Linked DNA regions of Drosophila melanogaster. The protein of the gene in region 1 interacts with the protein of each later gene in a pairwise test. Each region holds a gene or a part of one and is shown on either strand. Other genes may lie near its edges. The genes, in order: CG12121 and okr.

Region 1 (6,130 bases):
TGTATGACATGCTCAAATGTTTCCAGGGTGCCTTCAACTTCTCCATTCTCGCCGTCCTGCTGACCATCAACATACGCATCGCCGTGGACTGCTACTTCATGTACTACAGCATCTACAACAATGTGATTAACAACGGTGACTTGGGGATCTATCATTTAAGTACATCATGTAGTATATATGGAGTATCATCCTACAGATTACTACCTAATCGTTCCCGCCTTGCTCGAGATTCCCGCCTTCATATACGCTTCGCAGAGCTGCATGGTCGTGGTGCCCAGGATCGCCCACCAGCTGCATAATATAGTCACCGATTCCGGTTGCTGCAGCTGTCCCGATCTCTCCCTGCAGGTGGGCTGCCATGGTATCATGCTGTCGTATCTCACTTTCCCATCCTTGATTCTTGGCAGATTCAGAACTTTTCACTGCAACTCCTGCATCAGCCGATACGAATCGATTGCCTCGGCCTGACCATCCTGGATTGCAGTCTTCTAACTCGGGTGGGTGTGGTGTACTCTCGCTCTTCGAGTAATGGTTTCACACATAACCACTGTCCTTTCAGATGGCCTGTTCCGTGGGCACCTACATGATCTATAGCATCCAGTTTATACCAAAGTTCAGCAATACCTATATGTAGGACATCCTTAAAAGTGGAAAATGATTAGGTCAACATAATGCTGAGGAACATATGCTTTTGAAGTTGTCCTTAAAAACTTTAGAGATTCACCAACTAGCATTTCTCCATGTGGTTTTTAATCTCTACAAGTTGCACCCACAGTTTAAATCAGATTGAATCTTGGGTTTACATATTAAAGCTTTGTTATATTCATAAAATTATAGGTAATTACATAAGTGTATTTATTTATATGTATATGTATATCTTAAACCAAGGATAGGGCCTGGGTGTCACAAGCGTTCAGTATTCCGTTAAGCGGATTCATTATTTATTTACAAGGGTTCCTTGGCTGGCGACTGGACGGGCACTGGAGGAGGTGGTGGAGGAGCAGTTGGTGCCCACCAAACGTTGTGCCGACGTTGCCCTATACAAGTTTATATGCTGAGATTATCCCCTCCATGGCCATCGCGTTTGCTTTTGATTTTCTTATTGATTTCTCTTAAGATGCGCTGAACATAAAACAAATATATTAAAGTAATGGTAAAGTACTAGCTCAGAATTTGAGTCATTATATCCAAGACTCCGGGGACTATAGACTACGGACTAATGCAGGGAATATTGGTGATGCAGATCAATTGGCTTCCATTATGGGGCCTAATCGTACTCATGGCTTGATTCCCGCTTTGCAATCAGGTTCTCGCGCTCATCATCGTTGCCCTCGATGATGGTGATTCCGCCCAAGCCGCTTCCGTGGTTTCGGTTTAGCTGCTTCACACGGTGCACCGTCTCCGTGAGACCAGATTCGGTAAGCACCTCCACCTCGTCGTCATCCTCGTCTTCGTCCGGCACGGTGAAGTATGGATGCGAGGATACTGGACGGAACTTGTAGCCAGTCAGCACGAAGAACACGTATGTGGCCATCTCACGGAACATCTCGTCTAGCCAGGCGTATTGGAACACCACCGTCATCTGCAGCAGATCGACGATGATCCGCGTGAAGTAGATATAGCACACGATCATGATGTAGAACTGACGGAACAGCTTCAACTTGCGCAAATTGATCGCCGCCTTGCCATCTGTCGCAGAGGCCTCATGTAGATGTCGGATGGACCATACGATTGGAAAGAGAATGGCGCCGCAGCACAGCAGATCCACGAAGAAGAAGATGTTGTGCCAGGTACGGAACTCGGCGTCGCTCTGATCAGACTCGTCCGTAATGATCTGGGCCACGTTGGCCAGAACCTGAGGGCGAAAAAAAGTGAATATGAGTTACATTGTTTACTGTTTTTGGTATTTAGAGATAAACAAACAAAACGTTCTTCGAACTTCGCCTTTTATGAGCCATTAATCGTAAACACAACCAGCAAAGCTTTAGATTATAGGAATTACGCTATTTACTCTTTGGACAAACAAGTCTTAATTCACCGTGAACGTGACGAAATCAGTCATGAGTGCCTCGCAACAAAACTAACTTTCAATAAAATATTTTTATTGCTGATGACTAATTAGAACTATTCCACGGTCTGTGCGTTTTCGGTTTTAACTTATAACAAATAAAAATTTACCTGCAGTGGAATTACGATCATGAAAATCTTCTTGTCCTTGTCAGAGAGAATGTGCTTAATAAAAGTCCAGCCGGTGCCAATCAAAACGATGGTGATGAAGAGCACGGCGCCCTTCAGCAGGTGGGCAATGTAGTAAAGGATGGCCCAGGTCTCCACATGCTCGCCCCGCTTTTCGATGAAGTGATAGTTGATCGAATGGAACATCAGCGAGAGGGACTTGAGGAACACCAGCACGGCCATCAAATAATGGATTTTGTACACAGTGTGCCTGCCACAGAGAAGAGACAATTATGATTTTTGCAATTGCCAGCCAAACCACTTTAACTCACTTGCTCTTCTTCAAAATGAAAACCCAAAAGAGGCCGGAGAGAAAGAAGAGCAGGCTCATCATGAAGTACAAGGCTGGCAGGGGCATTTCTCCAGCCGACAAATAGTTGCCATTGTTGTTCTCCTCGATGTCCACCTAAGTAAAGGTCAGGCCCATTAGATAAGATCCAAGTGGAATAGTTGCTGGTACTCACATTGAAGGACATTATTTTTGAGGTGTGATAATTGGGACAGGCGTGGAAGTAAAGGTTGTACAAGCCCTCATCACTGGGCGTGGCCACCATCATAGAGAAGTTGAAGCTGTAGTAGTGTACATTGTTGATGGTCTCCCTGACCAGCGGCATGGTCGAATCCTTGCAAAGGTTTTCTTGCGATTGCTTAAAGGAGTCGGGTCCATATGAATCTTCTTCGGAATCGCCTTCGTGGGGGAAAGGGTTTCCGGGAGCTGCGTCCGTATCGGTGGCTTCATTTTTCTTGTCAACTTCAGTATCATCTAGGGACGGAGCAGCTGCTGGGCTATTTACGGCCAGTGGTGGGGCTGCGACTTTTGGCTCTTCTACGGATACTTGCTTTGCTGGGGTTTCCTCCTTTTTCGAAGGGGTTTCATCCTTTTCAGCGGGGGCTTCCTCCTGCTTCTGTTCACTCTTAACGGCTTCCTCCACTTTAGGGGCGGCATTTGGTGGGGGAGGCAGTTCCTGCTTGTCAGAAATATTCTGATTGGCAGCCACTTCTGGCTTGGGAACAGACTCCTCTTTGACAGCATCAACATTTTGGGCAGGAGCATCTACCTTGGGTGCACCTTCATCTTTGGGCAGCTCAATTTTGCCTGCAACCGCAGCAGGCGAGGAAGACTTTAAATCCGTCGGTTCTTGCTCCAAGGGATCCTCCATGGACTCATCTGGCCCCTCGGCGGAGAAATCTTGGGCAGCGCGGGTCTGGCGAAACAGAACCGAATCGCTGACCTTGGCCATGTGTGAGTGCCGCTTGGTTCTGGACGGGATTTGGTTGTAGATGTGCATATTGTGCCATTCGGGGGAGCACTTAACACGAACTCTGCAGGAAAAGAAGTACCAAATGAGATGGATCTGCTCAAAAAAACAAGAGAAGCTACATACTTAAGCTCCTTGAGGTCCAGCACGAAGAAGAGAATGGGTCCGCTGATCTGGGATTTAGGTGATTCCTCGAGAATGCATTTGTTTTGATGCGAGTCCAAATAGGGATTAAGCTGGTCAATAGTGGTCTTATCCAGCGACAGACCCATCTGCAAGGAAGAAAGCGGATCAGATGAGAAAGTGGTGAATGCCATAGCCGGCTTAACCTACCAAATCTGTAGACTGCTCATTGTCAAAAGTCAATTTGCTGAGCTGCACATCCAAATGGCCATTAGTGTAGAATCCAAAGGTGCTGAGTGCGATGTACTGGCGACGGTCATTCTGCGGGTAACATGGTCAACTATGAGTCAGTTACTCCAGGCTGGCAAGGGTGCCTCCAACTTACCCTCACTTCCAGATGGTGCTTCCGCCCAAGGACCTCAAGTGGGGCCCAGAGAAGCGCCGTCAGTGCCGCCAGCACCACTATTGATTTAACATCCCCGCCGGGAGCCCACATCTTTCCGTATTTTCCCCAAATTTTCCGCTTCTATTCTTCGGCGACGTTTCGTGGCACTTTTGCCCCGCGATTCCGGGCGGAACGTTCCGGCGCAGAGTTCCGCGCTAGCTGCGATCCAAGATGCGGCAATCGATTTGCCGCGACCGCCGTCACAGTTCCTATTATTCACACCTCACCTTGATAAAAACCCCAAAGAATTTTACTTTTTTGCTGGGGGAAAAAAGGTGATCTATCGAAGTCTATCGTTCTTCGATATCAGCATGTGTTATTTGACCGGACCTATCGATTTAAAAATACCACACGAGTGGGGGGGTTCGCAGTGTTGCCACTACAGCCGTTTTGCCGTTAAGTCTTAGTCCAAGAACAGCGGCAAGCGGGAATTCAAATTTTAGAACACATTTCTAGCAGTTTAAAATCAAACTAAATTAGCCATTTTAGATCTTGAAAATATCAGATGTAATTAATACTTTAGTCGATTGCGATATTGTTTATTTGAAAACGTTGCAAACAAGTTATGAAACAGAAAACGATTATATATTTAACACATAGTTTTCACTTGTTAATTAGGTGCGACAAGAAACAATGTTTGTTTGTTCGGCCATGTTGGCCTCCTCACTCCATGTAGCCACTGTGGGAGTCAGAGGCACCGAGATTCCTCCTTGCGTACAGTCCATGACGCGGCTTAAATTTGCCATCGCCCAGAGTGATCCTGGCCGGGAGCTTCTTGCCCCTGAATGTGGCTGTTTCGAAGGATGGCGGTGGCGATACCTTCGCTGGCTTCTCCTCCGCCTCCAGCACAGGGATGTGCCATGCCTGCTTCGTGGTGCTGGTTGCAGTGGGTGGAGCTGTTGAGGAATTGCCTCCGGACCCCGACGAATCATTCACCGGACGCACCTGGGTTATTTCCAGAGCGTTCTGCTTCTTCTTGTAGTAGAGCACCTCCATGCCGAGAGTCATCATGGCAAGGACAAGGCCGAAGAGGGTGGCTATGAAGACGCCGCCCAAACTCTCCAGGGTGATGCCTTCCTGGTCCTCCGACAGCGGGCAGTTAGGCAGATTCGATTGGTTCCAGTACTTGGCCTTCAGCTCCTCAAAGAAACGATCCTTCTGCAGCTCCAAAATGGCGTAGCTCAGTTCGTCGCCCAGATGACTGCCCTGCTGAACGGCCACGGCATATGGCTGCTCGGCGAACACCTCGCCCACCTCGGTGAGATTACAATTCCGCGTGATCTCGTACTTGATCTCCGCCGAATCGTGAATGAAGGCATAGTCGGCATTCTCGTGTGCATCAACATTGGCGAATCCCTCCTTGGCATCCGCCACCGGCTGAGAGCTATTGATGGCCAGCAGTATATGGCCATACTGCTCCTTGATCGGATAGTCCCAGATGCGGAACTTCTTGAAATCCTTGCTAGCGTTAAGGGCCAGCTCCTTCCACATCCGGTACAGCGTGTCCTCGGCGAACTTCATGTTCACAAAGTATTGATGCGTATCGGAGTCCTTCACAACGGTGTAGTTTATCCTCGACTGTCGAGCAAGTTGCTCCAGCGATTGGACCGGCGTCTGCATACGCTCCACGGTGAGGAAAGCGGCCAGATTGGCCGTGAATGTGGCCAGCATGAGTACGACGAATAGCCAATAGGCGGCCACCAGCATCCGTCCGGAAATGGCCTTGGGTGCTTCTCCTCCGCCCTGTGGCGTGAACGACGTAAGGGCGAACCAGAAGCTCTCCCGCAGCGTGAACTCTCGGCAGGCATACGGATATGCCTGCCGATTGTTCCGCGAGCTATACGGCGAGTACTTGTCCATGAACCAGATCATGATGGCCGTACCGACCAAAGCGGCCACTATGCTCAGCCAGACCTCCAGTCGGAGCACGGTCATGAACTTGAACAGCGATGTGCGGCGCACCGGCTTCCGGATCGCTATCGATATGCCCGTTTGCTCGTAGTATGGCGGCAAGAAGTCGATCACCTCCTCCCGTTCCGAATACATCTTCAGTGCGGCAATGGCGAAG
Region 2 (5,838 bases), on another chromosome or scaffold:
ATACCTTATAATAAAGTCTTAGAATATAAATATATAAATCTTAGAAGATAAATGGAACAAGTCAAGTGGATTCATCACTCGTAATTGGAATATTACAGGGTCACTTTTTTAGTATTGCCTTATCTGGCTAATGTCGCTATTACGCGATGAATCATTACACAAATATTCATTTATCGCTATTCTTTTTTATGCTGAATGAATTGGAATGTTTAAAAGTTATGAGCTTACTTGGTAGTGGTTCCGCTTTTGGGTGGCGCCACGTTGCCATTTAATATCTGCTCCTGCACCTGCGTCTGGGCGGAGAAGAAAAAGAGGTCCAGCAGGTGGACATTCTGCATAAGAACCACGCACAGCTGGTTCAGCAGGATCACCAGGCGCTTCTCGAGATCGGGCGGAAAGATCTCGCCCTGGCTGGATGCCAGTATCTTGAGCAGGGGTCGCAGGAAGGGCTCGTGGCAGAGCAGCTGGTGGCGCGAGTGGCTGACGAGCAGTTCGTACAGCTTCAGCTGCTCCAGCCTCACAGCGTTGGCATACCGTCCCGTGGTGCAGGCCCACTCGTACAGCTTGTCCAGCAGATTCTCGCTGAGCAGGAATTCCAGGCAGGGCGCCGCAGGCGGACCACTAGCCTCGGCCGCCGGCAGCGAGACTTTGTTGCAGTGATGCAGCTCCACGAGCAGCAGGGTGACCATGTAGTCCAAGTGCGAGACCACGCCCAGCACGTCGTCGTGCGAGGGCGGTGCACTGTGCTGGATGATCTCGAAGGCCTGCTGCCAGTGCTTACAGAAGCTGTCGTAGCAAGCGCGCGGATCGCAGTCTGTGGCAGCGTCGATGGGTCGCTGTCGCAGTGGGCCGACGTGTCCGACGGAGGCAACGCCTCCACCGCTGCTCTGGCGCAGCCACATCGTTGTCGGTGCGGTGTGTGTGCGATTCGGTGGCTTTTAGTGGCGCTGGTCCGCTGATAACTGCTCCGTGTGCGTTTCGTTTGGCATGAATTGGTGGTGCTGGTGCTCTGTTATCTCTCGTTTTGTGCTTTTGTCCGACTGTGTGAGTGGTGAGTATTTCAATGTTGCTCGCTTTTTAAATATTTAGAAGCTAAAAGAAGACGCACTTTAGTTGAATATTCGCTATTTACTTTTCTCTAATGTTCCCAAGAACAACAAGTGACACACTTACGCACACAGCCACACACACACCTGTGTACGTGTGCCCACCTATTTGGGCACTCACTGTGGTTGTTGTTGCTGCTGCTGCTCGCTCACCTGATGAATTTAGATTTGATCATCGTCATCGTCTCCGCTGCTTTCCGCTCTCCGTGCATCGTGCATCTACACCCATTACTGTTTAGTGGCCCTTCTTAGATGGGTTTTCACGCTTGCAGCATTTGCAGCGTTTTTTTTTTTGGCACTTTGGCAATTACAATTACAAATACAATTAAGTGGTAGTACCAACACTTCCGCAGATTTGCGGACTAGATTTGCGTTCTTGCAGCACGAAATTCGCGCTTTTGGCGCGGGTTTTGAAGTCAAGAAAGGGAAGGCAGTCCGGCCCGCACTTTATTGCCTCATTTTGCACTATTTTCGTAGTGTTTCCAAAGCAATTCTGCGTAAATATTTACAATTATATCTGCACGGAAATAGAAAGTTAGCGATGAGCAGCTATCAATATAACATATCGATGTTTCGATTATACCTGAGATACATCGGGAATTTTTGACATCGGGGTGTAGCAATTCCATTTTAGTTTTATTTTTATCTAATTATCTATTCACTTTTAAAACAGCGTGCTATGATCACAAGTATTAGTTTGATTAAATGCGTTCTGTTTCATTATCCCAGCGTTCCACTTACCAGTATTTCTTATCGCCTGTGTGACCAGACTTCCGCGCTTCTATCAGCTGTTCGCGCTACCGCCATTTGAATTTAATGAAATGGTAAATACAAAAATTTGATTTATTTAATTCCATTTCCCTAATCATTTATTCCTAAAGCGGCGCAGTCTGGCTCCCAGCCAACGTGGACCACTGCGTCCCGAGTCCCGTCACTCCTTCACGCCGCCACTGCTGAAGAAAAACAAGCGATCCTGCCAGCAGGAACTGGAGCGAGAGCAAGAACTGGACAGAAGACGACTGGGCGCCCTCCGAGATGCCAGCAACACATCAGAGCTCCCACTGCCTATTCGCTTCACGGCGAACAGCGAGTATGAGTTGGCCATTGCCAAGGTTCTGGCACGGAAGTTCAAGGTGCCCATGGACAATTACGTACCGGATTACGGTGGTAAACGGGTCCTGGGCGTGCGGCGCTGCATTTCCCGACGACCCCTACACGATCCGATGGCCTGCAACGCCTTGGTACTCTTCCATCCACCCGCCTACACAGAACACGAGCGCATGGGCATGGATCCGACCAAGGTTCTGGTGCACGTCGTCGTCGATCCGCTGCTGAGCAACATATTGCGGCCGCACCAGCGCGAGGGAGTGCGTTTCATGTACGAGTGTGTGGAGGGAAAGCGGGGCAACTTCAATGGATGCATCATGGCCGACGAAATGGGTCTCGGGAAGACGCTGCAGTGCGTAACGCTGGTCTGGACACTTCTAAGGCAGGGGCCCGAGTGCAAGCCGACGATCAACAAAGCCATTGTCGTGTCTCCATCATCGCTGGTTAAGAACTGGGAGAAGGAGTTTACCAAGTGGCTTCACGGTCGACTCCTTTGCCTGCCCATGGAGGGCGGGACCAAGGAGAACACCATCCGAGCACTCGAGCAGTTCTCCATGACTTCTGCCCGGCTGGGGACACCTGTTCTGCTCATCAGCTACGAGACATTTCGCATCTACGCGGAGATCCTGTGCAAGTACGAGGTGGGAATGGTGATATGCGACGAGGGACATCGCCTCAAGAACAGCGACAATCTGACGTATCAGGCTCTCATGGGACTGAAGACAAAGCGACGGGTCTTGCTTTCCGGCACTCCCATCCAGAACGATCTTACTGAGTACTACAGCCTGGTGAACTTTGTAAACCCGGAGATGCTGGGAACGGCGGCCGTGTTTAAGCGCAACTTCGAGAGCGCTATTCTGCGGGGCCAGAATACTGACTCCACGGAACAGGAGCGACAACGGGCCATAGAGAAGACACAGGAGCTGATAGGTCTGGTCGATCAGTGCATCATTCGTCGCACTAATCAAATTCTAACCAAATATCTGCCGGTTAAGTTTGAAATGGTTATCTGTGCGAAACTGACGGCGATTCAACTCGAGCTATACACGAATTTCTTGAAGTCTGATCAAGTTCGACGTAGTTTGGCGGGTAAGTCATTAGGCAATACTACCACAACATTCCTACCATTTACAATTCCCTTCAAGATTGCAATGAAAAGGCTTCGCTTACGGCGCTGGCAGACATTACAACGCTTAAGAAGATTTGCAGTCATCCGGATCTCATATATGAGAAGCTCACTGCGCGGGAAAAGGGATTCGAAAACTCCCAAAATGTGCTGCCTAGTAATTACAAACCAAAGTACGTCGCCTGTTGCGCGCGAATAGCAATGGCTATTAATGAATCTTTTGTGTTCCAGGGATCTCAATCCAGAGCTAAGTGGCAAGTTCATGCTCCTGGATTTCATGCTGGCAGCAATACGTGCAGAGGGCAACGACAAGGTGGTTCTCATTTCCAATTACACACAGACCCTGGACTTGTTCGAGCAGCTCGCGAGGAAGCGAAAGTACGGATTTGTCCGGCTTGATGGCACCATGTCCATCAAGAAGCGATCGAAGGTTGTTGACCGATTCAATGACCCGGAGTCTGACAGCTTCCTTTTCATGCTGAGCAGCAAGGCTGGCGGCTGCGGCTTGAATTTGATTGGAGCCAACCGCCTGTTCATGTTTGACCCAGACTGGAATCCGGCCAACGATGAGCAGGCAATGGCCAGAGTGTGGCGTGACGGGCAAAAGAAGCCCTGTTACATATATCGCCTCGTTGCCGTGAGTACCTGAATTGGTTCTGCACGGAACTTTCTTTTTCAACTCAAGAAATCTCTTTCAGAGTGGTTCCATCGAGGAGAAGATCCTGCAGCGACAGACGCACAAAAAATCCCTGTCGAGCACCATCATTGACAACAACGAGTCGGCCGAGAAGCATTTCACCCGCGACGATCTGAAGGACTTGTTTACATTTGATGCGAACATTCTGTCCGACACACACGACAAGTAAGAACTGGCTTTGGATACCCTTTAGATCATGATCGTGTAACATATCTTTTCAGGCTCAAGTGTAAGCGCTGCGTTCAAAATATACAAATGAAGCCACCGCCCGAGGACACGGACTGCACCTCGCATTTGTCACAATGGTACCATTGCTCCAACAACAGAGGCCTGCCTGACAATATTCTCGCCCAGGCCTGGATGGATTGCAAGTGCGTGTCCTTTGTCTTCCACCACCGATCGCAGGCTCAGGAAATTGTGCCGAGTGCTGAGGAGGAAGCAACAGATCAGCCAGAGGAAAAACCAGAAAGCCGCAAACGATCATCCACGCCCGCCAGTGATGACAGTGCCGATGAGGACTTCCGTGGATTCTAGCAATTGTTTGCAGTTTATTGTTTCTCGAATTTCCTTTTTCTTCGCACTTAAGTCTAAACTTAAGATAACTTTTTCTGGCTTCCTTTGCAATCCTAACAAGTTATTAATTTAACATTTCAAAAATGGAACCAGCACAAAATGTTAACGTGCTAGGGGTGAAGGCTTCTATAAACTAATCTGGCAATGTAGGAGTCAGTCCAGAAAATAGTTTACTTTTTTGTGAAATACTGATCAATTTCTATACTCTTAACTGGCCGCCAATCGGGCAAAGTAGTAGGTTAACATAGCTTAGGACAAATACAAGCAAACATCGAAATTCGGATTCTAGTGTGTATTCACTTGCTTAAGCGCAAAGTTATTTAAGTTGGTTACTTAAAATCAACAGCCATCTCCGCTAGCACGTTATTCTCTGCACATAAAAAGCAATTTGGCGTATAGCAACGTCCGGATTAAAACCCTGTCAGATACAGATTAATATTATGCGTGTGTATATGTATAAGTATTAAACCATTCGCAGTGTTAACACAGTCAATTGAACACTTGATGTATTCGGGTCTATACATCAATAATTTTATGCTCCAGCTCCACCCAGACGTTGCTCTTCTCCGGCGCCTTGAGGAGCGGCTGTTGCTGCAGCTCGGCCAAAAACCCACCGATGGCCTGATAGTACCTAAAAAGCAAGCACACCCATGGATAAATGGGAAAGTGAAGATTAATTGCCGGCCATACCCGTCCACTATCCAAGTGTCGTTGTGCGATCCGCCGGGGAATTCGAGCAGGCGCTTTATCTCGCTGCCGCATTTGGTATACAAGGCACGCATCATGCGCGGTGGCACTAAGTTGTCCGCAAGGCCCGAAATAAACAAAAAGGGAACCGAACACTTGCCTATCTTGCTCATGGAGTGATACTGCATGTGAAACAACAAACAATAATGTGGTAATGAGATAAAGTAAACAGAGGGCTCAACCGGCGACGACTACCCACCTTATTCTTAAATAATAGATTTGGTATATACTTCACAGCGGGATGCACCAGCTCCACGGCCATTTCCGGTATGCTGCTAAAAGTGTTCTCCACAATAGCGCACATTAGCTTCTGTCCATATACGGTATCGGCTGCAACGTCGACCACCACAGCTCCGCCCAGGGAGCGTCCGAAAAGTATCAGTTGCGAGTGGTCCAGGTCGTGGCGGGTGTGCAGGTAGTCAATGGCCGCTCTGGCGTCGGTGACCAGACCCCGCTCGGTGGGTACACCGGTGGATAGGCCA

The links.
Region 2: the proteins of CG12121 (region 1) and okr interact in a two-hybrid assay, tested with the Drosophila melanogaster proteins (one large-scale study listed by BioGRID).

Annotation. Positions count from the first base shown.
Region 1 is NC_004354.4:9,228,001-9,234,130, forward strand, and holds CG12121 (uncharacterized protein), read right to left. Parts: upstream 4,379-6,130; 5' UTR 4,114-4,378; coding exon 4,003-4,113; intron 3,939-4,002; coding exon 3,828-3,938; intron 3,767-3,827; coding exon 3,621-3,766; intron 3,559-3,620; coding exon 2,700-3,558; intron 2,642-2,699; coding exon 2,508-2,641; intron 2,447-2,507; coding exon 2,179-2,446; intron 1,856-2,178; coding exon 1,268-1,855; 3' UTR 796-1,267; downstream 1-795. Other genes in the region: Gr8a (gustatory receptor 8a), read left to right, coding at 1-135, 197-348, 408-497, 560-634; Ir8a (ionotropic receptor 8a), read right to left, coding at 4,726-6,130.
Region 2 is NT_033779.5:2,988,799-2,994,636, reverse strand, and holds okr (okra), read left to right. Parts: upstream 1-1,877; 5' UTR 1,878-1,927; coding exon 1,928-1,930; intron 1,931-1,987; coding exon 1,988-3,302; intron 3,303-3,358; coding exon 3,359-3,512; intron 3,513-3,570; coding exon 3,571-3,976; intron 3,977-4,037; coding exon 4,038-4,201; intron 4,202-4,257; coding exon 4,258-4,570; 3' UTR 4,571-5,043; downstream 5,044-5,838. Other genes in the region: CG3558 (uncharacterized protein), read right to left, coding at 229-902; Bem46, read right to left, coding at 5,126-5,240, 5,300-5,478, 5,556-5,838.